4 linked regions of the Arabidopsis thaliana genome follow. The protein of the gene in region 4 purifies or fractionates together with the protein of the main gene of each other region. This does not show direct contact. Each region holds a gene or a part of one and is shown on either strand. Other genes may lie near its edges. The genes, in order: MOR1, AT3G56790, AT1G28060 and AT1G12380.

The links.
Region 1: the proteins of AT1G12380 (region 4) and MOR1 fractionate together in Arabidopsis thaliana (co-fractionation; one large-scale study listed by BioGRID). This does not show direct contact.
Region 2: the proteins of AT1G12380 (region 4) and AT3G56790 fractionate together in Arabidopsis thaliana (co-fractionation; one large-scale study listed by BioGRID). This does not show direct contact.
Region 3: the proteins of AT1G12380 (region 4) and AT1G28060 fractionate together in Arabidopsis thaliana (co-fractionation; one large-scale study listed by BioGRID). This does not show direct contact.

The regions. Positions count from the first base shown.
Region 1 is NC_003071.7:14,962,794-14,970,760, reverse strand, and holds the start of MOR1 (ARM repeat superfamily protein), read right to left. Parts: upstream 4,188-7,967; 5' UTR 3,934-4,187; coding exon 3,771-3,933; intron 3,576-3,770; coding exon 3,470-3,575; intron 3,379-3,469; coding exon 3,255-3,378; exon of another isoform or gene 2,951-3,254; coding exon of another isoform or gene 2,888-2,950; intron 2,522-2,887; coding exon 2,442-2,521; intron 2,355-2,441; coding exon 2,177-2,354; intron 1,881-2,176; coding exon 1,816-1,880; intron 1,530-1,815; coding exon 1,447-1,529; intron 1,353-1,446; coding exon 1,267-1,352; intron 1,120-1,266; coding exon 1,006-1,119; intron 722-1,005; coding exon 602-721; intron 439-601; coding exon 336-438; intron 198-335; coding exon 61-197; intron 1-60. Other genes in the region: FEI2 (Leucine-rich repeat protein kinase family protein), read left to right, coding at 6,121-6,217, 6,329-6,464, 6,555-6,626, 6,715-6,786, 7,039-7,110, 7,499-7,570, 7,665-7,736, 7,932-7,967. UniProt on the Arabidopsis thaliana protein: Microtubule-binding protein that is essential for cortical microtubules organization and function. Essential for maintaining the interphase cortical array and for correct morphogenesis.
Region 2 is NC_003074.8:21,032,237-21,038,356, forward strand, and holds AT3G56790 (RNA splicing factor-like protein), read right to left. Parts: upstream 2,220-6,120; coding exon 1,599-2,219; 3' UTR 1,541-1,598; downstream 1-1,540. Other genes in the region: AT3G56780 (FBD, F-box and Leucine Rich Repeat domains containing protein), read left to right, coding at 1-399, 499-621, 738-1,040; CAM3 (calmodulin 3), read right to left, coding at 2,745-3,118, 3,609-3,684; AT3G56810 (uncharacterized protein), read right to left, coding at 4,691-5,241.
Region 3 is NC_003070.9:9,775,545-9,785,093, reverse strand, and holds AT1G28060 (Pre-mRNA-splicing factor 3), read right to left. Parts: upstream 6,244-9,549; 5' UTR 6,112-6,243; intron 6,092-6,111; exon of another isoform or gene 5,980-6,091; 5' UTR 5,928-5,979; coding exon 5,451-5,927; intron 5,338-5,450; coding exon 5,056-5,337; intron 4,965-5,055; coding exon 4,587-4,964; intron 4,505-4,586; coding exon 4,310-4,504; intron 4,213-4,309; coding exon 4,058-4,212; intron 3,482-4,057; coding exon 2,608-3,481; 3' UTR 2,228-2,607; downstream 1-2,227. Other genes in the region: AT1G28070 (ATP-dependent RNA helicase), read right to left, coding at 1,230-1,577, 1,830-2,012; BBX13 (B-box type zinc finger protein with CCT domain-containing protein), read left to right, coding at 7,437-8,222, 8,414-8,581, 8,866-9,110, 9,224-9,326. UniProt on the Arabidopsis thaliana protein: Functions in the RNA-directed DNA methylation (RdDM) pathway. Acts as a pre-mRNA splicing factor, likely by affecting Pol V transcripts. Affects DNA methylation of transposable elements (TEs) and preferentially influences NRPD1- and ROS1-targeted loci.
Region 4 is NC_003070.9:4,212,637-4,221,086, reverse strand, and holds AT1G12380 (uncharacterized protein), read left to right. Parts: upstream 1-3,674; 5' UTR 3,675-4,206; coding exon 4,207-6,588; 3' UTR 6,589-6,829; downstream 6,830-8,450. Other genes in the region: AT1G12390 (Cornichon family protein), read right to left, coding at 1-119, 669-740.

The sequences.
Region 1 (7,967 bases), on a different chromosome or scaffold from region 4:
GCCATGCTTTAAAGTTCAGTCAAAGTATTATTAGGAGCCATTTGGCGCAAGAAAACTAACCTCCATACATAAAGGGACATATTCTTTGTGAGCCTTTAGAATAAGAGCTTTGTTACTTGTTTCAAGGCAGAATGTCAACCAGGTCAAAGTTGAAGAACGCACAAGTGGAACTTTGTTTTTCACTGCTGTCTTCACATCTGCAAAAGAGAGTAAAGTTGATTGGAAACTGATGAAAGACAGATGCTTAAGCAAAATTGGTCGCCATCTAAAAAAGATAATCATAAGCAAATCAGTAGAGCTTCATAAAATAAAATCCAAGATAAACTGACTCTTGCCTTCTATAACGTCAACAAGATTCAAACACCCGGCTTTGTACATTGTTTGTAGCGTTTGTGTAAGTGGGTCTGTGACTGATTGCTTTTTCTCTTTCAATTTTTCCTGTTCAAGGAACAAACAGACAGCAATTTTGTATCAATTCCTGGACTAAAACCAAGTCAGCTACTTAAGCCCATTAATATCTAAGAAATAGTATTAACACTCATAAGACTGGAAGCGTCTTCCTCCAATTATACTTTTCGATCAAAGATGCTACATGACTCACAAGTAAAACAGGCAGCATAAACCGTGAACTAGCAGAGAAATGTGTTCTTAAACCACATGCAAGATTTCCAATGGCTTGAATAGCTTCAACTGCAACGGCCAAGTTCACATCCGTGATAAGCTGCAATTGGAAATATTTACAAATATTATCAAAACGAAAGCAAAATTAGTTATGCAGTATTGAATCCTGAACAATAGCAGCATCCACAAACTATGATTGCGACCAGAAAACATTTTGAAACGCATGAACTTCGAACTTCAGATTAATCAATAAGCACAGATGTTTGCAGGCTGCATCATCACCAATTAGATAATATTCCACTTACGGAATAAAACATAACAAGGATTATAACATATACATATAATCAATGCTGCCTAAACTTCTTATCATGGAAAGTTAACTACCTTCTTTAAAGTCCGACAAATTTCTGAAAAATCACCAGGAGCTATCTTTTTAGTCGAAGCAAGCTTTGTTAGCTCTGCAACAGCTTCTTTACGTTCGGACCACTTTGTAGCTTTCTATAAGGGATACATCGTTAGTTAGTGTAATGTGCCACATGCAATCAACATGAGAAGTAAGTGGTATAGTATAAAAAAGTTCTTTCAGTGAAAGACAACCACAAGAAATAAAACATAGTAAAATGTGCATTAAGCATCAAAACTCACCACTCCGTCCCAGAACCCAGACTTCTCCAAAGGTGTCAAAATGTCCACAGGATCCATAAGATCATACTCATCTATTTCTTGAGGCGCTGATAGTACGGGTAGATAAAAGAAAAAACAATGTAAGCAGACTTCTCATTATTACTTGATGAAGAACAATTCATTGAGGTACAAGCTACTTACCGTCAGCAACAGCTTCTTCACTGGGCCCATCACCCACAACATCAGAACTAGCTTCTGCCTCTGGTTCCTTGTCTTGCTCAGATCTTGAAAGCCAAATACAGAAATAATCTCATTGCAGCTTTACTTTTTCAACTTTAAAATTCACACAGGCTAGAAAAAGGTCTTGAAACCAAAAAGAAATACTCATGCATATCAATTCAATTATTCAGAAATTTGACAGAGGCACATTGAGTATTCACAAAGCATAGGCTGAATTACGGTGAAACTGGATCTGGTTTTACCTTACCAATAAATGTCAAAATATATTAGATGTATGTGCCAATGAATAATTAGGAAAATTAAACAATTATTATCGTATGTGGTAGTAACCTTATCTTTCGAGTAGGCTTGGCACCCGCTGTAACATTGGCAAGCTCAGCCTCCAGCTCTTTTTTCTTACATAGTAACAATGAAACGGAATATTAGGGTTTGCAACAAAGCACAAGAGAATAAATAAAAATTCAAGTGTAACTTCTTCCACTGATTAAAGAAAAACGCAAATCATGGGCAGAATTTACAGGTAAGGTGTGGTTCTTATCCGCAATGGGATCTATCATCTATCTATCTGTTATGACTAGAAACCCCTGTTTCAGTTTTCCAATTCCAAGAAAAATCAAGAGGATTTAATCCAGTTCATATCAACTTGGCAGCATAGCTAAGTTGCAAATGTGCGGCTCAACATAAATCTTACCATCGTATCCCTCATTTTTTCAAACAATATAGACTTTACAGGGTCTTTTCCAATCCAACGGCATAGCTCAAGAGTCACTCCTTTGGCAGATGCACGGACATTCTGATCTTGATGGTCGAAAAGTTCAGGAAGCATCTTTAAAATCCTTTTAGGTGGAATAACTTTTGATCCAAATTCACTAAGGTAGAAATAAAGTAGCGTCGATATTTCAGATAAAAGATTTCATGAACCAATGGAGAAAACTAACAAGGAGTTGAAAACAGACCTTAGAGCTTGAAACATAACGTCTACTGCAGGTACCACAGCCTTTGCAACTTTATTCTTTATAGCTTTCTCCATCGTATCCTACAATCATGCCAAATCTGTTAGCATGTATAAAAACGATGTTATCCTATAAACTATACAACTCCCAGTCTCCCAATATATATCTTGTTGGCAGTTGAAAATTGAAATGACTGAAACAATGCATATCAAGTAGAGTTATTGCAACTTTATACTTGGGAAGTGAATTAAAACTTCTGAAGGAAATGATGTTTTGAACAAAACACTATGGTAGATATCTTGAAAACAACAATAAAGAAGGTATCTAGATTCCTTTCTCCTTCAGAAATAAGTATTATTCATAGCAGAAGTCCAACAGCTTGAGACACGGTGACAACAACTCAAAACTGGAAATGTTGGTTACTGAAGAGGGTGATTATAGGAACAGACCCCAGAAAGTTGATTCTGTTTCTTGACCTTGAACACAGGATGCTCAGGACATCTGTCAGTCATCGTTATTTAAATTGCTCTTTTCCTATGCCACACTAGATACCTAGCATAACACAGAACTGGACAAAGAGCCACAATGCTATATTCTACGTCACTCCTTCTAAGATCAGTATATGGTTGAATTCTGGGTTATAAAGCACTTTCATTTCTATGTCAGCTCACCTATCTAGTTTCAGATACCAGTATCAGCAATCTAGCAAGTAACTCTATGGCTAGATGGTGAACCTATACATCAGAGTGCAAGGGTTAACCGTATGTGTCTAGATAACCCTAGCAGTGTTGCAAAAACATAGAATGAATGACATACCAGAAAAACATCGACGGCCTCTAATTCTACCCAAAGCAAGAAAGCAGCCTGCGCCTTGTCCACAGTATTCTTCCGACCCGTAAGGCATTTGAGCGCAATAGCATCGCAAACTTCCTTTGCATACCTTCAAAAGCAGAAACAAACTAATTATTCACATGCAAACGAACACTCCACTCTGCCCATTTCTAAAGCAATAAAAATAAACAACACCATACCTTCCAGCATCTGAATCGGCTGCTCGCAAAAACGCAATCAATGCATCAAGCGCTTTCTCTTGCACCGGCGCATTAGAATCTGCCACCGTCTTCCTAAACAAGTGACCTGCGAATAAAAAATAATAATCAGAAATTCAATCAAAAGTAAAGCAAAATGGAACCCTAGACCAATCACATTCCCACTCAACAATCCAAATTCAAAACAGATCCACACCGATATAAACCACCCTAATCAGATCTGAGCTTCAAAAACAAAAACCCTAACATAATAATAATAAAAAAACGAGGTAGAGAAACTCACCAAAATCGCGAAGACGAGGGTCCTTAGGATCAGTAATCGAATCAAAAACAGAAGCTAAATCGACGTTAGCTTCGTTCCTAACTTTCCAATTCTTATGCCCAAGCCGATCCTCCCAAGGAAGTTTTTTCGCCTCCTTCAATAACTTCTCATCCTCCGTCGACATTACTCCACGAAATTATCTCTCCGACGGTATCGATCTTATCGATCTATACCAAGTTTTTTTTTTCTTCGTACGGTCTCTTGGAAACTTTCTCTCTCTTTTCAAAAAAATTTCTTCGTGTTGTTAGTGCCGGCAAGAGAGAGAGAGAGAAGGACAAAAAAGAAGAGTAGGGTGGAGCGTAATGAGAGAGAGAGAGTGGGGGAATTTTGGTTTCTACGTTTAAATCGGTGGTGTAATTTTTTTGTTAAAAACCCTTCACGCGCGTTTTGATTGGAAATGTTTACACGCGCGATTATTTCAAATCTTAAAACGAGCGTTTTTCTTTTGCTTTCTCCACGTGGAGAGATCGGCATTTTCAAACTATTTTAGGAAATGATTAACAGTACTGAATTTTCCTATTGTTGGTTCTGTAAATATTTTCAAAATATATTTACATTAACAATCTATTAATTTCTAAGAAAATAAAGTAATATTTTGAAATGAATAACTCATTTTTAGTTATAAAAATATTTATTTTAAAAAATCAACAAAATCATGAGTTATTATTACTTACTTATTGGATTATCTTTTCTTCTATAAAATACAAATAAATAGTCATTTTCTATAAAACTAGACACGTAAACCAAAATGGATTTATTAGTTTGATTATGGAAGTTCAAAAACATTGTGTATTTTATGATTTAAAAACTAGTTAAAATTTATTATTTTAATATCCTAAATATTTATGCTAGGATCTGATTTCGCTTTGGATTTTAATATATTTGAAATATCTAATTCAAATTCAGAATACAAATACTCAAATTTCAAACAAACTTTGATTGATAATTAGTACAAGAATATTTAAGCCACACCACACCTTACACCTTTTCCATCTCCATCCTCATGTCTTAGGTGATGTAACTCTCTATCTCCAGATATCTTTTCTTGTCTACTGCTAACACATGAAACAACAACTCAAATTTAAGCCATATTTTTACAATGGTACCAAATTTATAAGAATCATAGATGAAATTACCAAAACAAGAAGTTACGTGGAAAGATTGAATCCAATATTAATATTTTGATTTCTATTATAAAAGCAAATGAAATAATGATTATCAGTCCATTGTTTGTTCCATTTTTAAGTACACTTGTTTGTTTGATTTAGGTGAATAAGATCCGCTAAAGCTGAAAATACAAGAATTGTCCCTAAAGATAGTAAAGTACAGTACGCTTCCAAATAAATAACAATGGGCTTTAGTAGGCCCACGCAATAACGATGTTTTAACTGACCCAACAAGCCCTTGTCCAGTTCTGGCATTATACAATGCGTCGGTCGACACGTGTAATAAGTCATGATCGGCACGTGTGGTCTCCACTTCTCCTCTCTCATTGGTCGTAAACTCGTAACTAGCCGATTCCTTCTCCAAAGTATCTCACATTTCCACTGCACACTCTACTTTCTCTCTCTTCACTCTCTCATAAATCACAACAACAACAAAAAAAAAAAAGTTGTTAGTTAAGACATTGCTTTACAGCTCAATTGCGTCTTCTTCCTCTGTCTTATTCTTCATCTTCATCTTCCTCCTCGCGGATCCATTTTGAGGTTCGTGTAAATTCCCATTCTCTTTCGCCATTTTTTTGGGGGAAGTGAGATTTTGGTCTGAGTTATCGGCGAATCGATTTCGTTTTTTTAGATTATTGAATGGTTTTGTTGACTCTTCAGTTCTTCTTGTGCTGTGATTGCAATGATGTCCTCCGAATTTCGTGATTTAAGTTCGATTTTAGCTATCCGAGCTCCTCTTTAAATAATGAGTTGGGGTTTTATTCTGAAGGTTCGATTTCTGATTTTGCAAATTTGGGAGGTGGATTTGATCCGATTAGATAATCTCACTGTTCTGGGTGCTGTAATTGTTAATGAGACCATGCAAATGTTGTGCATCGATGTTGTGGAACGCTTGATTTGTAATTGAGGATTTGGTTGTCTGATTATTGGAAGATCGAGGCTTGATAGAGTTTCAAATGAGGGTCAGCTGTTATTGTTGTACGGTCTAATGACATTATTTTATTTAACTTCAGGAGTCTCTTTTTGTTTCTTGAAGATAGACTGGGCGTCACGGAGCAGCTGAGTATATGCTACGAGTGTTGCATTCCGGAGGCTGTTCTTTCAGATGATTGGCAGTAGCTATATTATGCTTGAACGGTGCCATAATGGGCATCTGTCTAATGAAGCGCTGCTGCTCATGGTTTCTTTTGATCTCGTTTCTCTCTGCACTAACGAATGAAAATGAAGCAATTAGTCCTGATGGTATACAGCGATATGTGTCTTTAATCTCTTCTATATTTTGTCTTTGACAAGTCATGATCACCATTTACTCCGCCCAGATTGCTGAAGGGATTAAATCCTTTTTTTCTCCAGGTGAGGCGCTTTTGAGTTTTAGAAATGGAGTTTTGGCTTCTGATGGTGTTATTGGTCTGTGGAGACCAGAGGATCCTGATCCATGTAACTGGAAAGGAGTGACCTGTGATGCAAAAACAAAAAGAGTTATAGCCTTGTAAGTTTAAAATTTCTTTAGTTTAAATTCTTTTTTTTTCTTCAGTATGTGGTGCATCTTTTGTCGGTTCCTGAAGTTTCTTGTGTGCAGGAGTCTTACTTATCACAAATTAAGGGGACCTTTACCCCCTGAGCTTGGAAAGCTGGATCAGTTAAGGCTTTTGTATGTGCTCCTAACCTTTTAATTAATATTATTGATGTCTAGCATATGCTCTACTACTCATTGTATGTGTATTCCCATGTCATTGCAGAATGCTTCACAACAATGCGTTATATCAATCAATACCTGCCTCATTGGGAAATTGCACGGCATTAGAGGGAATGTAAGGGCTTTCCCAAATACTTATGCTGATTAGTGTGATTACACTTCATTGCTGATCGAATTCTCGTTTTGTTTTTCCAAATTTTATATTATTTCCTAACAATTACTAGTGTTTTTCTTTATTTGCTTCTATATAGTTGGTGCATAATATTGATGCGTCTTGTGAGTGATGATAAACTCAGTCACAAGTTTAGCTAGTTGACAAGAATCGTTGTGAATCTTTTATAATTTATTGTCCTTTTATTCCTTGCAGATACTTGCAGAATAATTACATCACTGGGACAATCCCAAGTGAAATAGGAAACCTGTCCGGGCTGAAAAACCTGTACGTGGTTTTTTTCCTCGTTCTTCCAAGTGGATTTGTTTTCTTAGCCTCTCTAGGATCTGCTATTTGTTGTTCTGCTATCTACTCTCACCATTTAGTATCCTCTATAATTATATTGTGAACTACAAGAGGTTCTTCTGATCTTCCATGCAGCAACAACATAATGTTTTCGAAAGTACTTATTTCTACAGTCGTGGTGAACCCTAAAAATTATAGGGAGTTTGACATAACTTATATTTAATCACGTATTGTGTTATTTTTTCCGGGTGAAAAACTCTCAAATATGATGATGAGAATTGTAAATCTATGCTAGGCTTCTTTCATATTAAATGGGCATATCATCTACATTCTTCTGAACTACTATGATTTTTGACTCTCATTTATGAAGGGACCTCTCAAACAACAATCTCAATGGAGCTATCCCTGCTTCACTTGGGCAGTTGAAAAGGCTTACTAAATTGTGAGTTGCTAATCTCTAACTTGCGTATTTTATTTTGCAGTCCTGTAGATATATGAGTGTCAATGTTACTAACTATGTTGATCTTCTTTTGAAGCAATGTCTCAAACAATTTCCTGGTGGGAAAAATACCTTCTGACGGCCTACTCGCTAGACTCTCGAGGGACTCGTAAGTATAATTTATATATACCCATTTCCCCAACCAAATTTTTGTAAATTATGGTTGATAAATCTTTCTACGGTTGATCTGGCAAAGCAGTTATAATTTTTTTTGTGACGTTGTGTACGATAGCACCCTGTTACTAGCTTTGCAGCAGTGTAGCTGAAAATAACCAAGTCGTAAACTGTTGAATCACTCTTGCAGCTTCAACGGAAATCGTAACTTGTGTGGAAAACAAAT
Region 2 (6,120 bases), on a different chromosome or scaffold from region 4:
CTCGAAGGCTTGAAGGATGTGATAAGCATTTCTTCTTCTTCCGCGGTATGTCTCCCACTCCTCAAAACTCTCCATGTTGCCCGCATGGAGGACTTTAACAATGATTCCTTTTGTCGGCTTTTATCCAATTGCCCTGTTCTCTCCGACCTAACACTGGAAGAAAAAACCAGTGATGTTTTGTTGAATTTGGATATCGACATGCCTTACTTACAAAGATTGTCGATTATCACAAGAGTCGATGCAGATTCCAAGCATATTTTTAGTTTGATGAAAAACTACACTCGAAAGCTTGCGATTATCGCACCTTCTTTCAAGTACTTCAGCATTCAAGAGTTGGCATATGCAAGCCGTTACCGGTATATTGTACGGGTTAGGCTCGGAGTTCCATCAAAATTAGAGGTAACTTTTTTCATTCCATGTCGTTTCTTTCTCGTGTTATATCTTGTTGGAACCATCACATAAATGAAATATCGTGTTTTTTTTTTCTTTTTTTTCTAGGATGCAAGTACCTTCAGTCGAATCGTGCATCTGGAGCTGAGCATATGTAGTGAAAGATCTGTGGAAATGCTTGTAGATTTGCTCCTATGTTTCACTAAATTGGTGGTCCTCAAGCTTGAACATGTATTCAGTTTTCTCCCTTTTTTCCTTTACCATTGTAATTTATACTAGTGTTTAATATTCGACCTCAATGATCTTATTATTAATAGCAGTTTTACCATTTTTTCTCGTGATCGCAGGTTTACTTACTAACCCCGTTGGGTCGTTGGGAACCGCCAAGTTTGGTTCCCGAATGTTTGTTGTCCAGTCTTGAAGCTCTAGAGTGGAAAGGGTACACAGGGAGATACGGAGATAAGGATCTGGTGAGTTATCTCCTGAACCATGCGCTTTGTTTGAAAACGGCAAAAATCTTCTATAAGACATATCCATGTGAAGTGGAAGCGAAGCAACAGATTGAAGAGGACTTAGCTTCGATGCCAAGAGGTTCAAAGTCATGTGAAGTTCTTTTGAATGAAATTATAAGAAACAAAGCAAATTGTTAAATGATTGCTAATATTTGGAAGAAACTCGCGGACATCTTATGATTTGATGCTTCACTAAATTCAATGTTTCATTAAAATTTCTACTGAGGTGTTTCACATTCTCTTGTGTTTAGGTTTTTATTGGCCTTCTGTTTCGTTGATCATTTGAAGCTATTCAATGAGCCCCGTTAGGAAATCAATTTAACGTAAACTGACTGCCATTGATAGGACCTAATTTGCATTTAAAAAAACAATGACACTAGAGACCTTTAATAGAAAACCACGAACTAGACCAAGTTACAAATTACAAGAGCAAGACAACAGAAATAACAAGGCTTTTGAAAATATTCAGACGCAAAATAGATCATAAAGGGATATAACATTCGTTTCTTAAACAACCAGAAAACATACCTCGAGTCCCACACAAAAAAAAAATTAGAACATAACACAAGAATTTATATGTAAGAGATGCAAACCAAGTTTAGAGCCATTGTTTGGTTCCAAAACAGCATCACTTAGCCATCATGACCTTAACAAACTCTTCATAGTTAATCTGTTAAATGAGAAGAAGGAAACTCTTCATAAGAAGAAGTCTTGGGTTGCTAATTCAGACGCAAGAACCTTCATTAGGTTGCTCAATTTCACCTTTGATTTTTGTGGTTCAAACAACGCTTGTCTAATCATCTTCTGTTTCTCCTTTTCTTTTGCCACACGCCTTAGAGTTTGCAGTTTCTTCTCTTCCTTCTTTGTCAATTTAAAAGGTTGGGGAGGTTTAAGAATATTCTGAAAAACATCTTTCTTGTGTTTGTTGTTGTTAACCATCAATGTACTAAGATTAATCACATGCCCATACTCATCTATTTCTCTTCCAAGTACATCTACACGCAGAAAAAAGCCCTTGGTCTGTTTATGTGCAACAGCCGTATCTATTGCCAGCTCCTGAAATCGTTTAACAGCTTCAAGGATTTGACTAGAAGTAGTGTCCGATGCAATAGAACAAGTATACGGCCTTTTCTCAAACCTAGCTACATCTTCAAACCTAGAACTCTTGTTTGTCGTCCTAGCCGCCCCATTCTCTTCCTCTGATCTATCTTTCCTCTTACTTCCTTCGTGAGACCTCTCATGATGATGCTTAGTCCTATCTCTCTCATCACGATCGTCACGGATGCTCCTGGAATATCTCTGCTTCTTGTTATCCATGATGAGACAAATTTAGGGGAAGTATGAAACGAACGTGAACAAAGAAACACAAAGGTATTTTACCTATATTCACATCAATTGAATGATCCCAATTCAACCACGAATAGGAAACTTTATGCCGTTTTCCTTTTTCTTAAACGACCACGAATTGGAAACTTTTATGTCGGTTTCTATTTTTTTAATGATACACACCACACCACGTTTTGACCTTTTTAGTCATTGATAGGACCTAATTTGCATTTCACAAAACCATGATACAATGCTTTACTAGAGAGACACCATTAATAAAAAACCGCGAACTAGACCAAGGTTACAAATTACAGGAGCAAGACAACAAAAAAACAAGACTTTTGAAAATGTTCAGACGCAAAATAGAGCATAAAAGGGATAAAACATTCGCGTCTTAAACAAGCAGAAAACATACCTCGAGTCCCATGAATAAAAATTATAGAACATAACATAAGAATTTATATGTAAGAGATGCAAACCAAGTTTATAGAGCCATTGTTTGGTTCTAAAACAGCATCACTTAGCCATCATGACCTTAACAAACTCTTCGTAGTTAATCTGACCATCACCATCAACATCAGCTTCCTTGATCATCTCATCAACTTCTTCATCAGTAAGCTTCTCACCAAGGTTTGTCATCACATGGCGGAGCTCAGCTGCTGAGATGAAACCGTTCTGGTCCTTGTCGAAAACCCGGAATGCTTCCTTGAGCTCTTCCTCAGAGTCGGTGTCCTTCATCTTACGAGCCATAAGGTTCAAGAACTCTGGGAAATCAATGGTACCGTTACCATCAGCATCCACTTCGTTGATCATGTCTTGAAGCTCTGCTTCGGTTGGGTTTTGTCCAAGGGAACGCATCACAGTACCCAGCTCCTTGGTGGTAATGCAACCTACAAGCAAATCAAGAATTTGTTCATCATTCACTTCTCTGTAAATCTAATTCAATCAAATATCTTCAATTACGAAACTCAAAGCAGGTTTCTCTGTAGAGAAGCATTTTAGCTAGATCCCAAACTTCTCAATTAACAGTTTCTAGTCATTAACTTCTCAAATCTAAAGTGAGATAAAATAATTCAGATGGAAAATTAAATCCAAATCGATAACAAATTGGCAAATCTCCAAGTCATCAATCATCCAAATTTCGATTCAAATCCAATCCAGGAAACAAACGAACAAAAATTGAAAAACAAGGAACGAGTCTAGAGATCACGAATTACAGATCCGTTAATTATCTACATCGACACAGATCAATTGAATCAACAAGAAGAACAGAAATCAAATCAGTTATGGCTAGACACCAAGATCCAACAGTAGCAAAATCCTATGTATTCAAAAACATTTGAAATTGCGAGAGGGAGAGAGAAAAAAACAACAACGTACCATCACCATCCTTGTCGAATAAGCTGAAAGCTTCCTTAAACTCAGAGATCTGATCGTCGGTGAGCTGATCCGCCATTGTTTTTTTCTTCTCCTTTTCGTGAAACCTGTAGATTCAGAATTTTTTTGTTTTCTCTCAAAACGAGAAAGAAGAAGAAGAAGAGAAAATTAGAAAAAGTGTCTCTGCTGGAAAAAACGAGAGAGCAACCGTATTTATCGGGTACGAAGCTATTAACGACTTTTGCTCCGACCCGGGACTTTAAAAGCTTTTTTTTTTAACCCGTACCGGGTTTGGAAAAATCTCTGTTATAACCTCGGATTATGACTGTAATTGCGTTAATGCTATCATCAATGATTTCTTTTCTCTTATAAAACGCCAGAGTGGACAATTAAACGGATCACACGTTCACGCGGTCTGTACGCGGAGCGTTGACTTGACTGTCACGTCAGCATTCTCGCTGGGTCCTCGAGATCTCTCTCAGTACAGATGTCTGTTTATGATTGGCTTCGCTTTTGAATTTAAGTAGTCCTCCTCACCATTGAAAACAAATAATTAGTTTCTTTTATTGTTAACTTAAGTACAATATCACCTGCAAATTAATTAGATTAGATTTCGTTTTCAAACAATCAAAATCACTTCAAGATATAATTGATACGTCTAATCAATTTCTTAATAAATTCTATGATTAAATTATGTATATAAGGTAACTTAAGAAAGGTATATATAAAGAGAAAACGATCGAGTTTTAAAATATAGGATGAGTTATTAAAAAAAACATTAATATCTGTATCTAGATGAATATATTGTTTCTGATTTTGTTAATCATTCATTTATTTAAGGAAATCTATGTAGTACTAGTATATACATGAATTCATCAAATAGGGAAAGTTTTTATATTGAATGCAAATAGTGTATCATTCATTAAACCCTAAACAACCAATTGCACTCTATTGAAAGATATGTCTTAAATTCTGAATAAGCTAAGAAAATTATAAAATAATTTAAACAACAAGTGTCATAGGTGAAAATTGTCGCAACTATGACTTCCATAACCGTCACAACGAACCTAAAGATATCAATCGCATCAAAACACTAATCTTCTTCGACACGCGTCGAATGGGAGAGAGTTGCTGCTGCCACGTCGGATGTGTTGGCCTTTACCTCCTCCGCCGTAACAAACAGAAGAATCCACCGGCGATTGATAAAACTCGTCGTCGTCGTAGTCAGAGAAGGAGAGCTCTCGAACGGTCTCTGCGATCAAGTCGCGACAGATGTGATCATGAAGAGCCAAACCGATTTTAGCGACCTCTCTTCGTTGACCAGATGCCACGTCATCACAAACTTGGTTCACGCTCTCCATCAAGCTCCGTCTTACCCTCCGCACCACAAGGGGCAACGTGCCACATGACTCTGTCGTCGTCGTTGACGTTGATCTCTTGGAAATGACGTCATGAATGGAGTAATGATCGGGTCTAGTGATTAGATTTATATTGTTGACTTTGTAGGGTTTGTTGTCTTTGCAGCAATATTCGTGATGGTTCATCATCGACAACATCGTGTCTGTGTCTGGTTCGTGTTGTGTCGTCTTCGTGTTCTTCTGCGTGTGCGTCCCCACGACGACATCTCCTGCCAGTACTGTTGGTTGTTTGTTAAATAAGACGAAAATAATTTATCAGACAACTTGTGTGTTTAGTATATAAATTAGTACGTTGTCACACAAATATATATAAACTATTACTAGCGAATAATAAGACTCAGGCATACATGAAGTGCTTGTAGAATCATTTTTCTTTAAAAGTGGTGTTCTTGATTTGGTACCATAAAACAGTATGTGGGTCAGAATCAGGAATAAATCAAAGAATGGGTGGGGGTCCAAATGATGGGAAAAGTTAAAGTGGGCTTCATGACTAAAGGAATAAAGGCCCCTAAAAGCTGTTTCTTCCTTCATCATTTGTCTAACATGCCTCTTTCTCCTCACACTTTCTTTACTCTCTTCTCCACTTTAATTTGATCCTATCAGATTAGACTAAACCTCATTACATAATTAGCCCCACCGAAACTTAATTGGGGTCCATACTATATTGTCTTTATATAATTTTGAACACTATCCTCAATATGACAACAACTATATAATGATCCAATTGTTAGAGCAATTAGATGTGACATCAAAATCAAATAACACAGTTTATGCATGCATGAAATTGTTAGAGCAATAAGATGTCTTTATCAATATACTTTTATTTGTATATACCAAAATGATGAGCCTGTCTTCCACTATTGGACATACTCATGATTTCAACACCACCAAATTAAAGAGACAACTCTTTGGCCTTCCCATTCTATCTTCACTCTTTATTGCTACTTTAGTTGACACAATGTTCACTTAAGTTTACTACTTTAATTTATTTATTTTGAACAACAAAAGATTAAAATACAAAATTCCCTGATAATGTGCTACAAATTACGGACCACATCAATTCTCCCACATTTTAATATGAATTTTTCTTTCTTGAT
Region 3 (9,549 bases), 5.6 Mb from region 4:
AGCGCAAATGAGGAGTGATAGTTGCAAGAGCATAAGATGGGATACGTGCTTCGTATATATACGTGTTTTGTATATATAACGCTAATACATAGAAGTTTGATCACATTTTCAAAATGACTCATGTATTCTTTACTAAGATCTTAACACAAATTAACGAAAAAAGATCATCATTTCGGACAATAGCTTTCCAATATGGTTAAGTTGTTCACACAACAACTTGAAATCACAAAGATAGCTAGACATATCTCGCCTTAATTAGCTTCCTTTCGTAATAACTCCCATTGAGGTCAATGAATCAAAATCCCGAGATATAGCTAATGCAACCCAAAGATCTTGTTTATAATTTGACTTTTCCATATATAGTATTATTAAACATTTAATGTGACAGAAATGAGCCTCACTAGTTCTGATGATAATTCTTCTTTGATTGTTTGCATTAATAATTAATTGATCGTATAAGTTGTTCATTGAATGTGAGCTGTAGTTGCTGTGAATTACTGCCATTTTTATTTCAATATATTATATGTATGATTGCAAAAGTTGACAATGTTAGGGGGAAATGCCATTCAATTATGGTTCGATTATAATTTATTGTATAAAGCCATTTTTATTTTGGTCAAAACCAAAAAAATAATCAAGGATTAACTTTTGATTTATAAATTAAAATGGGAAACAAAAGAAACAGAAATTGTGGTAAATCACATGCTTGCAATCATTATGCTTTTTAAATTTTCTTTCCACGCAGCGCGCGAGTCTTAAGCTTCATTGACCAACTTTTATGCAACAACTATCCTAAACAAAACTCTCAAGACTCTCTCCTTTCATTACCAATCGATATTATTAACCTGACAGATCAGTTAGTCCCATAAAAACACACCAGTCTATTCAAGCAACCTCACGATTACGTAAATCCCATAAAACACATGCAATCACTAGCACTTGTTCCACCGGATCTGCATTAAGCCATTAACCACATTTTGTTTTGTTTTTTCTATCCGATCTATTTAGTTTACACAGTCTGATCTGCTTTTCACTAATCCATGTTGTTGTTTTTTTCTTTTCCAACAACTTTGAGACATTGTCTTTAAATATAATGCCACAACACGAACACTAGTTTATACATATACGAGTTAAGAGATTAAAAGACAAAAAGAGAGAAGACAACCCTCAAATCTATGTGAAGAAAACTGAAAATGAAATGAGAAAAAAATCAACAACGAAAGATAGGTTCAAGGAGAAGTAGAGTGAAGTTGATCAAAGTGGAGAAGCTGAGTTGCACATTTGGGGCAATCCTTAAAGAGTTTAGGTACCATGAAATACATTAAACAAGCTTTGCAACCAGCTACCACAAGAACATCTTCGTCTTGTTCCTCTTTGTGATACTTTCTTGATGAAGGAGACGACTCTGATGAAGACTCTTCGCTTTCATAATACGAGCTAACTTCTTCTGATGAAAAAACTGTTCCAGACGATTCACCACTGGATTGGTCTGCATAGTTACCACGACTCATCGATTTTCTCGGATCTTCTTTCACTCTCATTCCACTATTCCAGCTTCTGTAGTAAATCTCTCCTGTCTATAAACAAAAACCCCACCTCAGCATCTCAAAATTTGATGCTACATAGCAATTTCAAACATATTTATTCCCCAAAACGAAAGAAAATACTAGAATTATCAGTTAAGGCGTTTAGTTTAGCCATACAATTACAAATCAAGCTTGAAACCAAAACCCTTTGAGCATTTTGAGACAAAACAAAATAAAATTGAAAGATCAATTATAAGGAAACATGGAAGGAATCTGTTTCTTTTTGTGTGAGTTTTCTTTTACCTTAAGATCAAGACACTGTTCCAAATGAGAAGGAACAGAGAAGTGAGAACTGAGCTCCAAGAATCTATCTGAGATCGGGATATGTTCATCGCTCATACCAAATCCATCTCCCATACTACTTCTCCGATCAATAAGTGAACAATTCTGCATCGATCTCTCTAGATATTCTGTTATATCCGCCATCTCCTCTTATCACTATAATGATTCCAAAAGCAGAGGAGAAGAAGAAGAAGAAACAAAAGAGATAGATATTTGGAAGGAATGAAAACAAGAAAAACACGAAGGAAGACTCTTTAATCAAGGAAAAAAAAACAGAGTTTGAGGGTAGTTTGGGGATTTTCATGAGGTCACGCGCCCGTGTTGGTGGAGAATTGTTGGGTAAAGAGAAAGCTGGAGGAGGTGTAGCTGTCAGGTACATATTGAGCACTCAGGCTCGCATCTTGTCGCACGTTTCGTCCAACCATCTACACGCGCGGCTCATTCTTCTGACTGTACACATAATTATGTTATCGGTTAGTGGCCTCGATATTTTTAAAACATTATAGTTTTGTTTTAAGTCATAATCATACTTAACCAATGGTACTTTTTTGGCTGTGACTCAGATAATTCATGTTGTATCATCAACCTTAAACAGTTTACCTAGTAAAAAACAGATCATTTCTTGTTCAAAAACTAAAATACCAGACACCAGGGGAATATATGTTCATAGAAGTGCAATAACATGTCCAAATAGTTAACGCATTTCAAGGTGATGATGATGATATGAGGGAGAGAGGATTTAGTCGTCTGAGTAATTGACAGCGAGATCCCAGTAGTGAACAACACCAGCATCCATGAAAACTTTCTTGGCAGTGGATTCCGTCACGCATTCGTGTACATGAAACCTATGAAAACTCGGTTTCCCAATACTTCCTTGCCAAACCAACCAACACTTGTTTCCGCCATTCACTTCTTCTTCCTCGTCTTCATTCCCTTCCTTCCTCTCTGCCTCTTCCCAGTTTATTCGCTTCATCATCAGCTTCCCGTATCTCTTTATCGCTTTGCTCTTGCCCTCAACCACAACCACACTCATTTCATCCGTCATCACACTACACCCTGTTAATCTGTTCTCTCTTGCATTCATCTCCACTTTGAATCTTGTTTTAGGGTGCGATAACTTTTTGATCTTGTACACCGACACAATCGTCTCAACCGTTGTTGGATCATCGAAAAGCTTCCTCTCTTTCTTCTCACGTTTCTCTGCAGGAGTTAGCTTCCGGGCAGCATTCCTATCTGTATGAGCCTGTTCACGCTCAGCAGCTGCTGTGCGGATCTCTTTTTCAAGCTTTGTTGGGTCTTGGGTCGCTTCAGAACCAAGAACCTTCATTAAGTTGCTCATCTTCACCTTTGCTTTTGGTGGTTCCAGCAACCCTTGTCTGATCATCTCCTGTTTCTCCTTTTCTTTTGCTAGACGCCTCTGGGTTCGCAGTTTCTTCTGTTCCTTCTTTGTCAGTTTAAGAGGTTGGGGTGGTGGAGGAGCTGCCTCTGCAGGTGGCTCTATGGGACGAGGATGCTCAATGTAATGAGTAAGTTTTTCTATCTTCAGATGGCTTTCAGTAATGGTGCCATCAGTTATTTCGCCGTATTCGCCATTGGTGAGGACATTTGCATCCCTGAAACATAAAACAATTATGAACTAAGAAGACTCATCATGAACATATACCAAGAAAATAGACCAAAACGACAGAGCACAAAGCAGCTAGATTAACTATTTGGGCTGGCATTGAAAGGTACTAAGTAGATCATAATCATCAGTAGATTCATGTTACCATATTTTACTACCAATCACACCGTTGCTGATGACAAAACCATTGAACTTTCAGAAGTTGTATGTGGAAAACTAAAGCACATATGCGAACACTCAAAGAAATCAAAGAATTGAAATATTAATTGTATATATCCCACCTAAACGAAACTAGATAGTAATTCAAAAAACAAACAAACAACCCTAAACCAACATGAGCAACAAGAACACCAAACAAATTATATGAATGTCATCCGTAGCTGAGAGCAAACTAAAGTTATTGTTATGGTGATTCATCACAGTCATCAAATACTCCAATCGTTACAAGTTCAGTTTTTAAGTGCAGGATGACTTGTTTCCACCAAGGTTATGCCAAGTGAATGTCAAATCAGAAACAAAACAACTTAGCATTAACAGAAAGGGTAAGGTGAGAGAAATTACGTACCACCACTCAACATCTGGAATTGGCTCCTTGGGCTTCTCTTTTCTCGGGACACGTTCGGATACCTCTATCAAATTTGGATTTATATCATCGTTTGCCTTAGCCAGTTGTGCTTGCTTCACCTTCAGCTCCTTCGCTTTTGCTTCACCAAAATGACTCTATAAAGAAAAGACAGAAATACACACAATGAGACATCTAAAAGACCACCAAGAGAGAATATCGTCAAAAAGAATCCATACAAAAGACAATGCATACCTTAAACTTCAAATTTTCAGCATCTCTTGTCCATTTACCTTCCTCAACAAACTGGAAACTCATACGTTTAGGTCTCAGAATCTTTTTTTCATCAATACCCATCCTTGTGTCAAAATAGGGGTTTTCTTTTAGATCTGCTTCCAGTTGAGGTTTAAGAATCTGAAAAGCATCTTTCTTCTTTTTGTTTATGTTAACCTGTAAAATCCAAGTACTTTAGAAGCTCGATCATATAAAGAAAAACATGAAAACTTAAGATATTCAAATTAACATTGCTGACCTTCAATGTACTAAGATTGCTTGGTTTAGTCACACTAATCACATTTCCGTGTTCATCTATCTCCCTTCCTAGTGCATCCACGCGCAGAACAGGGGGCTTTTCCGGTCTCTGTGCAACAGTCATATCTGAGGGTGCCTGTCCTGGAAATAGGTTAATAACGGGAGCGAACTCTCGATCCTGATGAAATCCCATATTAGCTGCCAGCTCCTGGGCTCGCTTAACAGCTTCAATGTTGGCAATACTCCCAAAGCCAGCAAGGCCAGTATGTGGTAATGTTGAAGCAAAAGATGTGCCTGTAGAGACAGCAGGAGTGGTAGTCGATGGTGGCACTCTGGTATGTGGGCTACCTTCTGAAGTTGGCTTAGTAGCCTTCTTCAGCTGCACAGAGAATAAGAAAAGCAATTTATCAAATACAAAGTTTTCAGAGAAGAATGAACGCAAAAAAGTATAGAATATCTGTACATCTTACCAAAGGAAGGTTCTTCAATCTATCAGCCAATCCCTTTTGCAATTGTAGTGCTTTCCTAGCTTTCGCTGCTAACGCTGATGAATCAAGAGGCAAGTTTGCACTACTTTTCCCAGCTGTGGACAATGGTCTTCCATCTGTACTAGATTTTCCAGGAACCTCATGAGATCTGACAACACTAGCCTTATTTTCATCCGTTGTAGATATCGAAGATACCTTAGTGAGCAGTGTTTGACTAGGGGCAGCAGAAGCTTCCGATGGAATAGAACTATATGTAGAGGCTCCCTGCACAAAAAAAGAAAATGCAAGCATTAGCTAGCGAAGAAGACTAGAGGTAATCATGAACAAATCGCAAGTAGCAAACAAAGAAGATTAACGAAAAGGTATAAAGAACTCACCATCGTAACGCCACTGGTTGGATTCGTAGCCCCAGAACCCTCAGAGACTTGAGCATCTTTGTTCTCAACTTCAATAGCCACATCCTCAAACCTGCTCCTCCTCTCACCATTCCCATCAGCAAACCTAGATTTCTTCTTCCCATCCCTAGCCCCATTCTCTTCCTCTCTATCTTTCCTCTTGCTCCTCGATTCCTTCTCTTTACTACCTTCGTGAGACCTCTCATGGTGATGCTTTTCCCTATCTCTACTCCCTTCTCTCTCGCCTCGCTCTACAGATCTCCCTCTTCTATCCTTGGTCCTATCTCTCTCATCTTCCCTATCGCCGCGCCTCGATGAACGGTAGTGATCTGAATCACGACGCTTCGAATCAACATCGCGGTCACGGCGGCGTCCTCCTTCACGTTGTGGAGAATGGTCGGGACTCGAATCTCGATCACGATCGTCACGGTGGCTCCTGGAATATCTCTCCTTATCCATGGCAGAATTTAGGGTTTATTCCTAACAACAATTTGCTTCTGATTCGCCGGTCCTATAAATATACGAAAATTCACAACCGGAATAAACCAGCGATTCAGATTAGAACCAAAACGACCAGCGAAACCAAGTTCTGAATCAGATTTTTGTTCCTTCCGGAAAAATCCTAAAGGGAGCGAAACGATACCGGATCCGGAAGATATATAATCCAATCACCGGACTACAAGCTTCCCTTATGGGCTGAAGCCCATTTTTGAGTTCCTTCTTGAGATAGTTCTTCAATTTTGAGTCTAATGGGCTTTTATATCATCTTTTACTTAAAAAAAAAAAAATCGACGATTCATCTTCTATAGAGATATATGAAAATTCAAGCTATTTATCTTTAAAAAGAAAAATATTTGATGTCAGGTCGCAGTTTTCTTACAAGCAGAAATCCAAACTCTTCATACCAACTATTTTTGGAATAAACAAGATTTCTTTGCCAAGAGTTTTCATACCAACTATTTTTTGGATAAATAAGATTTCTTTGCCAAGAGATTTCCACAAGTTGACCACAAATTAAACATTCGATCAAAACTCAAGAATTCAAATATAGAAGTATATAACGCATATATTCCGCTTTGACTCAAAAAAGAAAAAACCCGCTCATATACTGTATTATGTATAGTCTGAATCACAAACTCTCTAACACGTGAAATTTAATGCGTTAGTCAAGAATCGTTCCGATTGTTACCACTCCCCAGGAACTTTTTCAAGATATTTATACCTCAGAATGATAGCACTTTACAAATAAGTTATACTTTTTTTCAAAACAAAAAAAAACAACTTATTGAAGTCTATGGACAAAAAGAAAATATCTAACATGAATCCTAAAATATCTTTACGATTTTAATTTTATCACATCTTTTGTCAAGAACTCGTGTGTAGCAGTTTATTATGCACATAAATATATGCTATACATTACGCTGCAATGTTCGTAAATACTAGTTCCAGAAAAAGACGATTCCAGCCGTTATTACACTGATCAAAAAGTTATTGCTATATACGGAAAGAATTAATCCCATAAAAATCATGTGCTTTGAACTAACTTTCCCTTTATACGTTAAAATAGATATTTAGGTGAAAAAGCAGATTAGATATTTTCTCTTAGATTCTCTGTCACAGTCAACGTAAGCTTCGCCGTCTGAACAATGGCGACTCTCTCAGCACGCTTTTACACCGTCAGATCTCAACATATCTCAATCTGAACAATCCATCATACACAAGTTCCATACATCGCAACACAGAAAAACAAATCCCTAACCCCAAACTGTTTACAATAATTAGCTTCGTTGTCTTCTTCATTCCAAAAGATTTGCAGATAATTTTGACAAAGCCCCCCAAAAAAAAAAAGAGTTCAAAATGAAAAACGTGAGAAATGGATTTGTCATCATTCTTCTCACCGTCCTTAGTCTCTGAAAATAAATTCTGATTTTGATTTCGAATTTTAGGGATTTTGAGAGAGAGTCAGTTATGAGTAGTTCGGAGAGAGTACCGTGCGATTTCTGCGGCGAGCGTACGGCGGTTTTGTTTTGTAGAGCCGATACGGCGAAGCTGTGTTTGCCTTGTGATCAGCAAGTTCACACGGCGAATCTGTTGTCGAGGAAGCACGTGCGATCTCAGATCTGCGATAATTGCGGTAACGAGCCAGTCTCTGTTCGGTGTTTCACCGATAATCTGATTTTGTGTCAGGAGTGTGATTGGGATGTTCACGGAAGTTGTTCAGTTTCCGATGCTCATGTTCGATCCGCCGTGGAAGGTTTTTCCGGTTGTCCATCGGCGTTGGAGCTTGCTGCTTTATGGGGACTTGATTTGGAGCAAGGGAGGAAAGATGAAGAGAATCAAGTTCCGATGATGGCGATGATGATGGATAATTTCGGGATGCAGTTGGATTCTTGGGTTTTGGGATCTAATGAATTGATTGTTCCCAGCGATACGACGTTTAAGAAGCGTGGATCTTGTGGATCTAGTTGTGGGAGGTATAAGCAGGTATTGTGTAAGCAGCTTGAGGAGTTGCTTAAGAGTGGTGTTGTCGGTGGTGATGGCGATGATGGTGATCGTGACCGTGATTGTGACCGTGAGGGTGCTTGTGATGGAGATGGAGATGGAGAAGCAGGAGAGGGGCTTATGGTTCCGGAGATGTCAGAGAGATTGAAATGGTCAAGAGATGTTGAGGAGATCAATGGTGGCGGAGGAGGAGGAGTTAACCAGCAGTGGAATGCTACTACTACTAATCCTAGTGGTGGCCAGAGTTCTCAGGTTTTGCTTATCTCTCTTTTGATTTTTTTGGCTAAGAACAGTTTAGTTTTTTCTGTTAATGAGCAAGTGAGATTAAGTGGTGAAATGTTTTTGTGTAAGGTCAAATATAGTCACTCTGTGTGGTTTTATGGTTTCTCAAGAAGATAAAAAAATGAAAGGTTTCTTAACCTGTGTTGTGAACTTGTATACAGATATGGGATTTTAACTTGGGACAGTCACGGGGACCTGAGGATACGAGTCGAGTGGAAGCTGCATATGTAGGGAAAGGTGCTGCTTCTTCATTCACAATCAACAATTTTGTTGACCATATGAATGAAACTTGTTCCACTAATGTGAAAGGTGTCAAAGAGATTAAAAAGGTAATAGTTCTCATTAACCTTAGTCATTTAAGTAGAGTAGTGTTTAAAACACAATACGTTGTCATCTCCCGTTCATCCTCAAAAATTGTTGTAGACAGTTGCTTCTTTTAGTGAATGATAGAATTCAGAACATGAAACCTAGTCAGAAAAAAGTTACAAGCTGGTTTGCTTTTCTTTGTTTTACCTCATCACCAAGCCACCAATTCTAACATTTTGGCTTATGATATATATTTGCTAGACTGCTATGCAACTTAACTGTGATGCTGATTAGGATTCTTTTGCAGGATGACTACAAGCGATCAACTTCAGGCCAGGTACAACCAACAAAATCTGAGAGCAACAATCGTCCAATTACCTTTGGCTCTGAGAAAGGTTCGAACTCCTCCAGTGACTTGCATTTCACAGAGCATATTGCTGGAACTAGTTGTAAGACCACAAGACTAGTTGCAACTAAGGCTGATCTGGAGCGGCTGGCTCAGAACAGAGGAGATGCAATGCAGCGTTACAAGGAAAAGAGGAAGACACGGAGGTAAATGCTGCTTTTTTCTTTCCCCTTTAATAATTTTTTATTGCCCATCTCCCTTAAAGAATCTGATACCATATTTCGTTTCTCCCTTTGTCTTGGATCTCGGGTGCCAACAGATATGATAAGACCATAAGGTATGAATCGAGGAAGGCAAGAGCTGACACTAGGTTGCGTGTCAGAGGCAGATTTGTGAAAGCTAGTGAAGCTCCTTACCCTTAACCTTAAGTCTCTTCACATAGGCTTCCTTTTAGCTACAAACTTAGTTACTTTTTTTACTTCCACTGCCTCATAAATGTACAGACCGGTCTCGTTTCATCTGGCCGCCCTTCTGTTTTATTGCCTTATCTGGCCCTTTTATGTACCTTGGAATCTTATCTAGTTTAAAAAAGATTGTAACCTTCTAGAAAACCATATTCTGTTGACAGTATATACATGTCTATCC
Region 4 (8,450 bases):
AGGTAGAATACGCATAGAACTCCTTGAACAATGAACTCCGGTAAAACCACTGAGTTTATTCTCGACGCAGAGTCGTAAGGGTTGATGTAATCAAACTCGAGATCCGCTAAGCAAACAAGCTGCAAATGAAAGAATTCAAATTCAGAAAAGAGAAGTTAGCTTCCTAGAAAATGTCTTCCCAAGCTGTTTATACATGGAAGATTCCGTTTGCTAGCTTATCAGTCTCAGTGACTCCTCTCATTAGAGTCTACACAAACAAAACTAAAGGGTTCACTTCATTATGCCGAAATGGAGCTCATTTATAAAAGAACAACCTGTGCTTAAGGAGGTAAATCCTCAGACCTGACATGAACATCCAACATAAGAACTAACTATGAACCTATAAAAGTGTTTTGAGAAGCCAATACGCACTATATATGTTCCTGAATTTACTCCTTTGATGATAACATTCCCAAAAATTACACCTTTACTTCTTCCAAACATGTGACAAGAACATAAAACCCTAATTCTAGCTAAATCACAGACTACCCAGAAACAAAAAAAAGGCTCCAAATGAATCAAAATGGACAAATATGGTATCATTATAACCGTAAGCGAAAAAATTGGCAAATTCCGATAGAAAAGTTAAGAACTTTGGGTTTATTTATCCTAGAAATTGGGAATCGCACCTGATAGACGATGATTCCGACAAGAGCGATGAGGAAGAAGAAGGAAATAAGCCATGTCCAGATATCTCCCATCTTCCTCCTTTTGGTTCCGACAATTTCCTCGGATCTATCCTCGTTGTTTCTTGGTCTTCTCTCTCTCTCTCTCTCCTCCCAATAATGTTCGATGAGGAACAGAGAGAAAGTTAGGACAACGACTTAGTGGTCGGCTAGTTTTGACAGTTGAGCTCGAGATTCTGATCGGAAACAAAGAAGCCTAGAGAAGGCAGGCACGAGACTCAGCTTCCGGTTCAGTTTCCGGTTAAAATCGAATTCGTTATTTCCCGAAGTACGTACCATTTACGCCGGTTTAATATTTCAGTATTATGAATCTATGATTTATAAGCCATTGGGCCTCTATAGATTTAGCCCAATTAAATAGTAAACAGTTTGGGTTTGGGCACGAGAGCCGTGTAATTTTTGTTGAGTCGTGTATAATTTTTTTTAGGTCATTGTCTTATTGTATAGTTTTAAGGAAATCAAAAATGAAAAATTAAAAACAAAAATGGTACCAGAAACCATTCAATCATGTGATTGAGAAAAGCCAGCTGTTTTCTAGTACGAAGAAAAACAAGCTTCATCTTTTCCATGTATTTTTCTTTCTTTCTTTTCTCAAGAACGGTGAATCCATAACTTATAATTGCAAGGATTAAGAGATTGAGATTATGAAGGATAGCATTTTGGAATTGTAATATGGTTTAGCTTAGTCGGATTTTCCTCACTAATTATAGATTCTGGCCTCTCTAGTGTGGTTCAATTAAGTTGTAAAATAAAGAAGCTATGTTAGTAACTAAATCCATCCAAGTTCAATAATCAAATAATTACTATCGCTATCAATGTAAAAGGTGGCATTATTTTTATTTCAACTATTATTATTTCTTACATGGTATATATATATTTATTTCGGGTATAACACGATATAGTGGAGTGGTTGGGAAAAGAAGTTCTCGTACAAGATTGTAAATCAAGCAATTTACGTTTGATACAGTAATAATCAATATCAGTATTTTTTTAACTGAAAGGATTGGCTCTTCGTTTTCACTAACTGGAAAATGAAGATTCAAATTTATAACATACCTATTTTCTGTCAACAGTTACTTATTTTTAGTTAATATATGCATTTAGGGACCAATCTTGAAATCTCATTCCACGTATGAAAAGTATCATGCAAAAAAGTATATATCAATTCTAAACATTTTATTTTCAAATTTCATTCACAAAATCAGCATTATTTTATTTAAGTGGAGATTAACGTAAGAAGTTACTTTGATATATTGTTACATTGTTTACATTGTAGACACCTTAAGTTAATAAAACGTATGACAAAGTGATGTTATTAATAGTTCTCATCACTATATTGCAAACGTCGTTTATCAAAAAATAAAATTAGAGGGCATAATCCATGGTTTTTGGGTGGTTGGTATGTAACAGACAAGATCATTCTTATAGATAGTACTATCCATCTTTTTAAGATAGGACTGCTCTAAATTATGTGGTAAGAAATTAATTTTCTGCCTTTTTATTATATAGATACAGTTATGGGTGGATTTTGTATATTAGACTTTAGAATTCATTGATCATTCATACATATAAGCATGCATACATGATACTTCTACATTAGAAGGTGGGAGACAGTTGTGACATGGATTTTATGACATTAGATATTGACCAATTAAAACTTGACTCCTACTAACCTCCACTTATAACTTTAATTATACGTTTTACTAAGAGAGATTTACAAGTTCAAGTTCAAGACACTTTTTGCATTGGAATAAGAGTAGAAAATCAAGGGTAAAATATAGAAAGACTTATGTGTGTGTGTGTGTATGTGTGTGTGTGACACATAAGAAATAGTCTTTGTTGTGGTTAATTAGCTGGAATAGTTGATCAAGAAAATGTGTTTTTAATATTCATTAGTATGAGTTTGTTCGCATTGATATGGTTTTATAGGTTGTATTAAATTATTCATAGATCAACGACATACTAAAGTAAAATTCTAAGTTTTTGGCTATGAGTGAAAAGCATGTGTACTTTGTTGGACTGCTACAGATTGGTTGGTATTTAGCTAAATGTGTCCATTGGCCAGTAATTTTATTTAGGTAAATATTGGTCCTCAGTCATAATTTTATTTAGTGTGTGTTCATGTTTTTTTGGGTTTTTACTTTTAACTAAAAAGAGGTAGAAGTTGTGAAGAGTACAAAGGATGTTGTTATTCATGAATCATGACTTCAAACTTCTAACGACGGCCAAGACACACATGATTCATGAACATTCATACAAAGCAAATGAAAGCAAAATTGCTATTGAGATTAACAAAAAGTAAAAAAATGGTTGGAATTAGTAGGAACCAAAAGTGTCGGTAAAAAAATGGAAGTTGTAAAAGGTTGCAGTCAAAAATAAACAACTTTCAACACAAACCAAAAAAAAATATTTACAAAGAAATGTACTTTATGAGTCAACAGAAAATGGTCAACACAACACAGTCTCTGCGTTAATGTCTTTCATTGTCTATCTAGAAACAAAAATTAAATTCTCACTCTACCCTTTTATGCCCAAATTCTGAACTCATCCCACGTAGACAATAGGACACAAATGGAAATCCCACTCACCCATTTTTTTCATTTTTGTAATCAAATCCAAAAAAAATGTTCAAAAAGTGTCTTCAACGTTCACATAATCTCTAACTAAATTCACAATAAGGATTCTATAAACCGAATTAATCATTTAGATTTTTTTAAAAACTCAGCCTATGTTAATAATTCTTTTTTTACCAAAACTTAGAGCCTTCAAAATTCTCAAGATCCCAATTTTGTTTTTTTATCCGTTCAACTGAAGTTACGAAAGTACATTACCATTGGTGGTTGAAACTGTATAGCACAAGAAAAACATTTATAAAGATTAAGAAGAGAAAAAATCTAAATAAAATGCATTAAATTAAGGTCCCAAATAGTTCCAATTTTTTTTTCTTTTAAATATTAAAGTAGGAGACAAGAAAAGAGATTTTCGAAAGAAAAAAAGAAACAAAAGTTGAAAGAAAAAAAACACACATAACAAAAACAATCCCCCAAAACCAACTTAAAGCGCGTGACTAAAACGCTCCAATGATGAGAAAGCGAGATAGACTACGAGCCAATGTAACGTTTGTGTTCTCGTACGACGTGGGACTCTCTTCTTTCACCTCCATGCGCGTGTGCTTCAACCTCCTCTGTAACTCTCTCTCTTTCTTCCATATTTCTCTCCTCTTCTTCTCCGCTCTGTCTCTTTCTTCGAAAAAACCATTCACAGTCAAGAACAAGAGCTCACTAGAAAGAAAAAAAACTAAAGAAGTGAGTAAAAATTTCATTTCTTCTGATCGCCGGAAAATGGCAGCGACGTTAAAGATCGTCGTCTTCCGGCGAAATCCTACTGCTGAAGAATGTCACACGTAAAATCCAACTCTCGCTTAAAACCCTTTTAGCAAGAGCCTCGAAATTTCCGATTTAGAAACTTTTTTTCTTTCTTGATGGCGACGACTAACGCTCACACGGCGACTCAACAGACACCACCACCACCACCTCCTCCTCCTCCAGCTCCTGCTCCTCCGGCGATGGATGGGTTAACAACAGACGAGCTAACAGCAAAAGCATTAAACAAGAGATACGAAGGTTTAATGACGGTGAGAACAAAAGCAGTGAAAGGTAAAGGCGCGTGGTATTGGACTCATCTTGAACCAATCCTCGTACGCAACACCGACACTGGTCTCCCTAAAGCCGTGAAGCTTCGTTGTTCTTTATGCGACGCCGTTTTCTCCGCCTCTAATCCTTCACGCACTGCCTCTGAGCATCTCAAACGCGGCACGTGTCCTAATTTCAACTCTGTTACTCCCATTTCCACCATCACTCCTTCTCCTACCTCTTCCTCTTCCTCTCCTCAAACTCATCACCGGAAACGTAACTCCTCCGGCGCTGTCACCACCGCGATTCCTTCTCGGCTTAACCCTCCTCCCATCGGAGGCTCTTATCACGTCACGCCGATAACCGTTGTTGATCCTTCTAGATTCTGCGGCGGAGAGTTGCATTATTCAACTCCTCCGCCGCCGCAGCATTTGATGCTCTCCGGTGGAAAAGATGACTTGGGTCCTTTAGCTATGCTTGAAGACAGTGTGAAGAAGCTTAAGAGTCCTAAACCGTCGCAGACTCAGTCTCTTACCAGATCGCAGATAGAGTCAGCTTTAGATTCTCTCTCTGATTGGGTCTTCGAGTCCTGCGGCTCTGTTTCTCTCTCGGGTCTTGAGCATCCAAAGTTTCGAGCTTTTTTAACACAAGTTGGTTTACCAATCATCTCCAAGAGAGATTTCGCCACCACGAGATTGGACTTGAAGCACGAGGAAGCCAGAGCAGAGGCTGAATCGAGAATCAGAGACGCAATGTTCTTCCAAATCTCATCGGACGGTTGGAAACCAGGAGAGTCCGGCGAGAGTCTTGTGAATTTGATTGTGAATTTACCAAACGGGACGAGTTTGTACAGAAGAGCGGTACTTGTGAACGGAGCTGTGCCGTCTAACTACGCAGAGGAGGTCTTGTTGGAGACGGTGAAGGGTATTTGTGGAAATTCACCTCAGAGATGTGTTGGGATAGTCTCTGATAAGTTTAAGACCAAAGCACTGAGGAATCTGGAGAGTCAACATCAATGGATGGTGAATCTTTCTTGTCAGTTTCAGGGACTCAACAGTTTGATCAAAGATTTCGTAAAAGAGCTTCCTTTATTCAAATCCGTTTCACAAAACTGTGTGAGACTAGCTAAGTTCATCAATAACACCGCGCAGATACGTAACGCTCACTGTAAGTATCAGTTGCAGGAACATGGCGAATCGATAATGCTTAGGTTGCCTTTACATTGCTATTACGACGATGAACGTAGAAGTTGTAGTAGTAGTAGTAGTGGTAGTAACAAGGTTTGTTTCTACGAGCCGTTGTTTAATCTTCTTGAAGATGTGTTGAGTTCCGCTAGAGCAATTCAGTTGGTAGTACATGATGATGCTTGCAAGGTTGTTTTAATGGAGGATCATATGGCTAGGGAGGTTAGAGAGATGGTTGGTGACGAAGGGTTTTGGAACGAGGTAGAAGCGGTTCATGCTTTGATCAAGCTTGTTAAAGAGATGGCTCGGAGAATAGAGGAAGAGAAGCTGCTTGTAGGGCAATGCTTACCTCTATGGGATGAGCTAAGAGCTAAGGTTAAAGATTGGGATTCTAAGTTTAATGTAGGGGAAGGACATGTGGAGAAAGTCGTTGAGAGAAGATTCAAGAAGAGTTATCATCCGGCTTGGGCTGCGGCTTTTATACTTGACCCTCTTTACTTGATAAGAGATAGTAGCGGAAAGTATCTTCCTCCGTTCAAATGTTTGTCGCCAGAGCAAGAGAAAGATGTAGATAAGTTGATAACAAGGCTTGTGTCTAGAGATGAGGCACACATTGCGTTGATGGAACTAATGAAATGGAGAACCGAAGGGCTTGATCCTATGTATGCAAGGGCGGTCCAAATGAAAGAGCGTGATCCGGTTTCCGGAAAGATGAGGATAGCGAATCCTCAAAGCAGTAGACTTGTTTGGGAGACGTATCTTAGCGAGTTCAGGTCACTAGGAAAAGTTGCAGTAAGGCTCATTTTCCTCCACGCTACGACTGGAGGGTTCAAATGCAACTCCTCTCTTTTGAAATGGGTAAACTCGAACGGGCGGTCACATGCAGCCGTTGATCGAGCTCAAAAGCTGATCTTCATATCCGCTAACTCGAAATTCGAAAGGAGAGATTTCTCAAACGAGGAGGATAGGGATGCAGAGCTTCTCGCTATGGCTAATGGTGACGACCATATGCTAAACGATGTTCTTGTCGATACGTCCTCAGTGTGACATTTGAATCTCTTTTTTGATCAATTTGATTTCACCTTAGTTTTTCATTAGAATTTGGCATTTCTTTAGGATTGTTTAAATTCATTTCTTTGATTTACTAGTATCTCATTCATACTATCATTAATATTCAATTTGTACTTGGTTTCTTTAGAAGGTGATTGAGAGTATTTGTATTTCTTTAGTCTATATAATATACCATCATAATTTTTCGATATAACATATGTGTCTATTTCAGTTTCTTGTCCTTATCATCGATGTATCGGTTAGAAGTTAGAAACTCTAATTAATGACAGCTTTTGCTTCTTCGTCTCTTGGTACAATAGTGTAATGATCCCACTCGCTTTTTTCATCGGAAATTCATATTCTTAATCATGACTTGAAAACATATCTTTACTTTTCGAGAGAAAATGACTTAACTTTTGAAAGTTTAATGTTCTTTCTTCATGATAACGTTTGTTGTTGGCAATGACAGACTAAAGATGCATATACTTTTGATATCTTGAGTTATTGAAGAGCAAAACCTGATTAACGGGTTTCAATTTAATTTTAACCATGATTATGATTATGAGATTATCTATCTATATCAATCTATTAAGTCTTTTAGAAGAACAAAAATGTGGATCCCCACCATGAAAGCAAGTTTTTCTTGGCTATTGTATACAAGTTCATTTTAAAGCTGTAAAAGGTGAAATTGTGAGATTGTAAATGTGAAGAACCCTTTTTGATGTTTATAAATGAAACCTTGTTAATCTTTTTGTAGCAAGATGTGTGATTTACCCATGATTTTTTTACGGCTATGAATAGTTGGAAAGGTTAAAAGATTTCTTCTTTATTTATGAGCCCATGGTATTGTACTTTGTGGGGTATTTAAAAAACTGTAACCCATGATTTATATTCTTGTAAATCATAACTTTATCAATAGTACCACAAATTTTGAAATCTAGTGGCAAGATTTCATAAATGGACTGACCGGACAGCTAAAGTGAAATTACACAAATTAAGTAAGAACAGTGAAAGCAAAGAGAAAACAAACAATTATTTCGAAATAGTAAAGAGAAATACAATTATTTAGATGCTATTTTTCCATTTAAGTTACAGACAAATAGATAAGTCAAGTACCTCTTCTTCTTTTTTACACACATGCTCATACACACACATACACACAAACAAATATGTACGACATTCTAAAACACTGTTATATTTAATAAGTAAGTTTCATACTTATGTATTGTTAAATAATAAAGTCGAATCTATATATAGGTTACTGATTGAAGGAAATATAGGTTTTCACTTAAATTATTTAAGAAGGAATCATTTTCATTGGAGTGGTAATTTGTAACTATGCTGAACAAGAGGGGAACCCTAAAAGTAGAAATCAATAATTAAATTTTATACCCCACAAATAGCAAAGTATACTACTTTTTTCTTTTATATACACTTTTTTTTTTCTCATTGTAAAACTTTGAACTTTCTAGCATGCATTATATTCACTTCGCCCACCTCCTCGAATAGTTGATCTTTAAAAAATCAAAACTTAAATTAGGTAATAGTTATAAGAAAATCTTAGAATACATCGGCTTTCACTTTTATTACTACTGCATGTACATCATCATTTCAATGAAAATTAAAAGACACAGAAACACAAGTTTTTTTTTGTCAATATATTAAATAATATGAGTTCATATTTCGTGGAAATAAGAGGGTAGTGTAATTATGTACTCATATAATTACAACCTAAATAAAGTTGTTGTAATTATTGGTTTGGTATTTTCACCATTTTGGTGGTGAGGCAGAATTTCCTGTCGGCAATGCTGACTTCTCACCAAATCTCTCTCGAATTATATGAATGTGTATTTGATTTT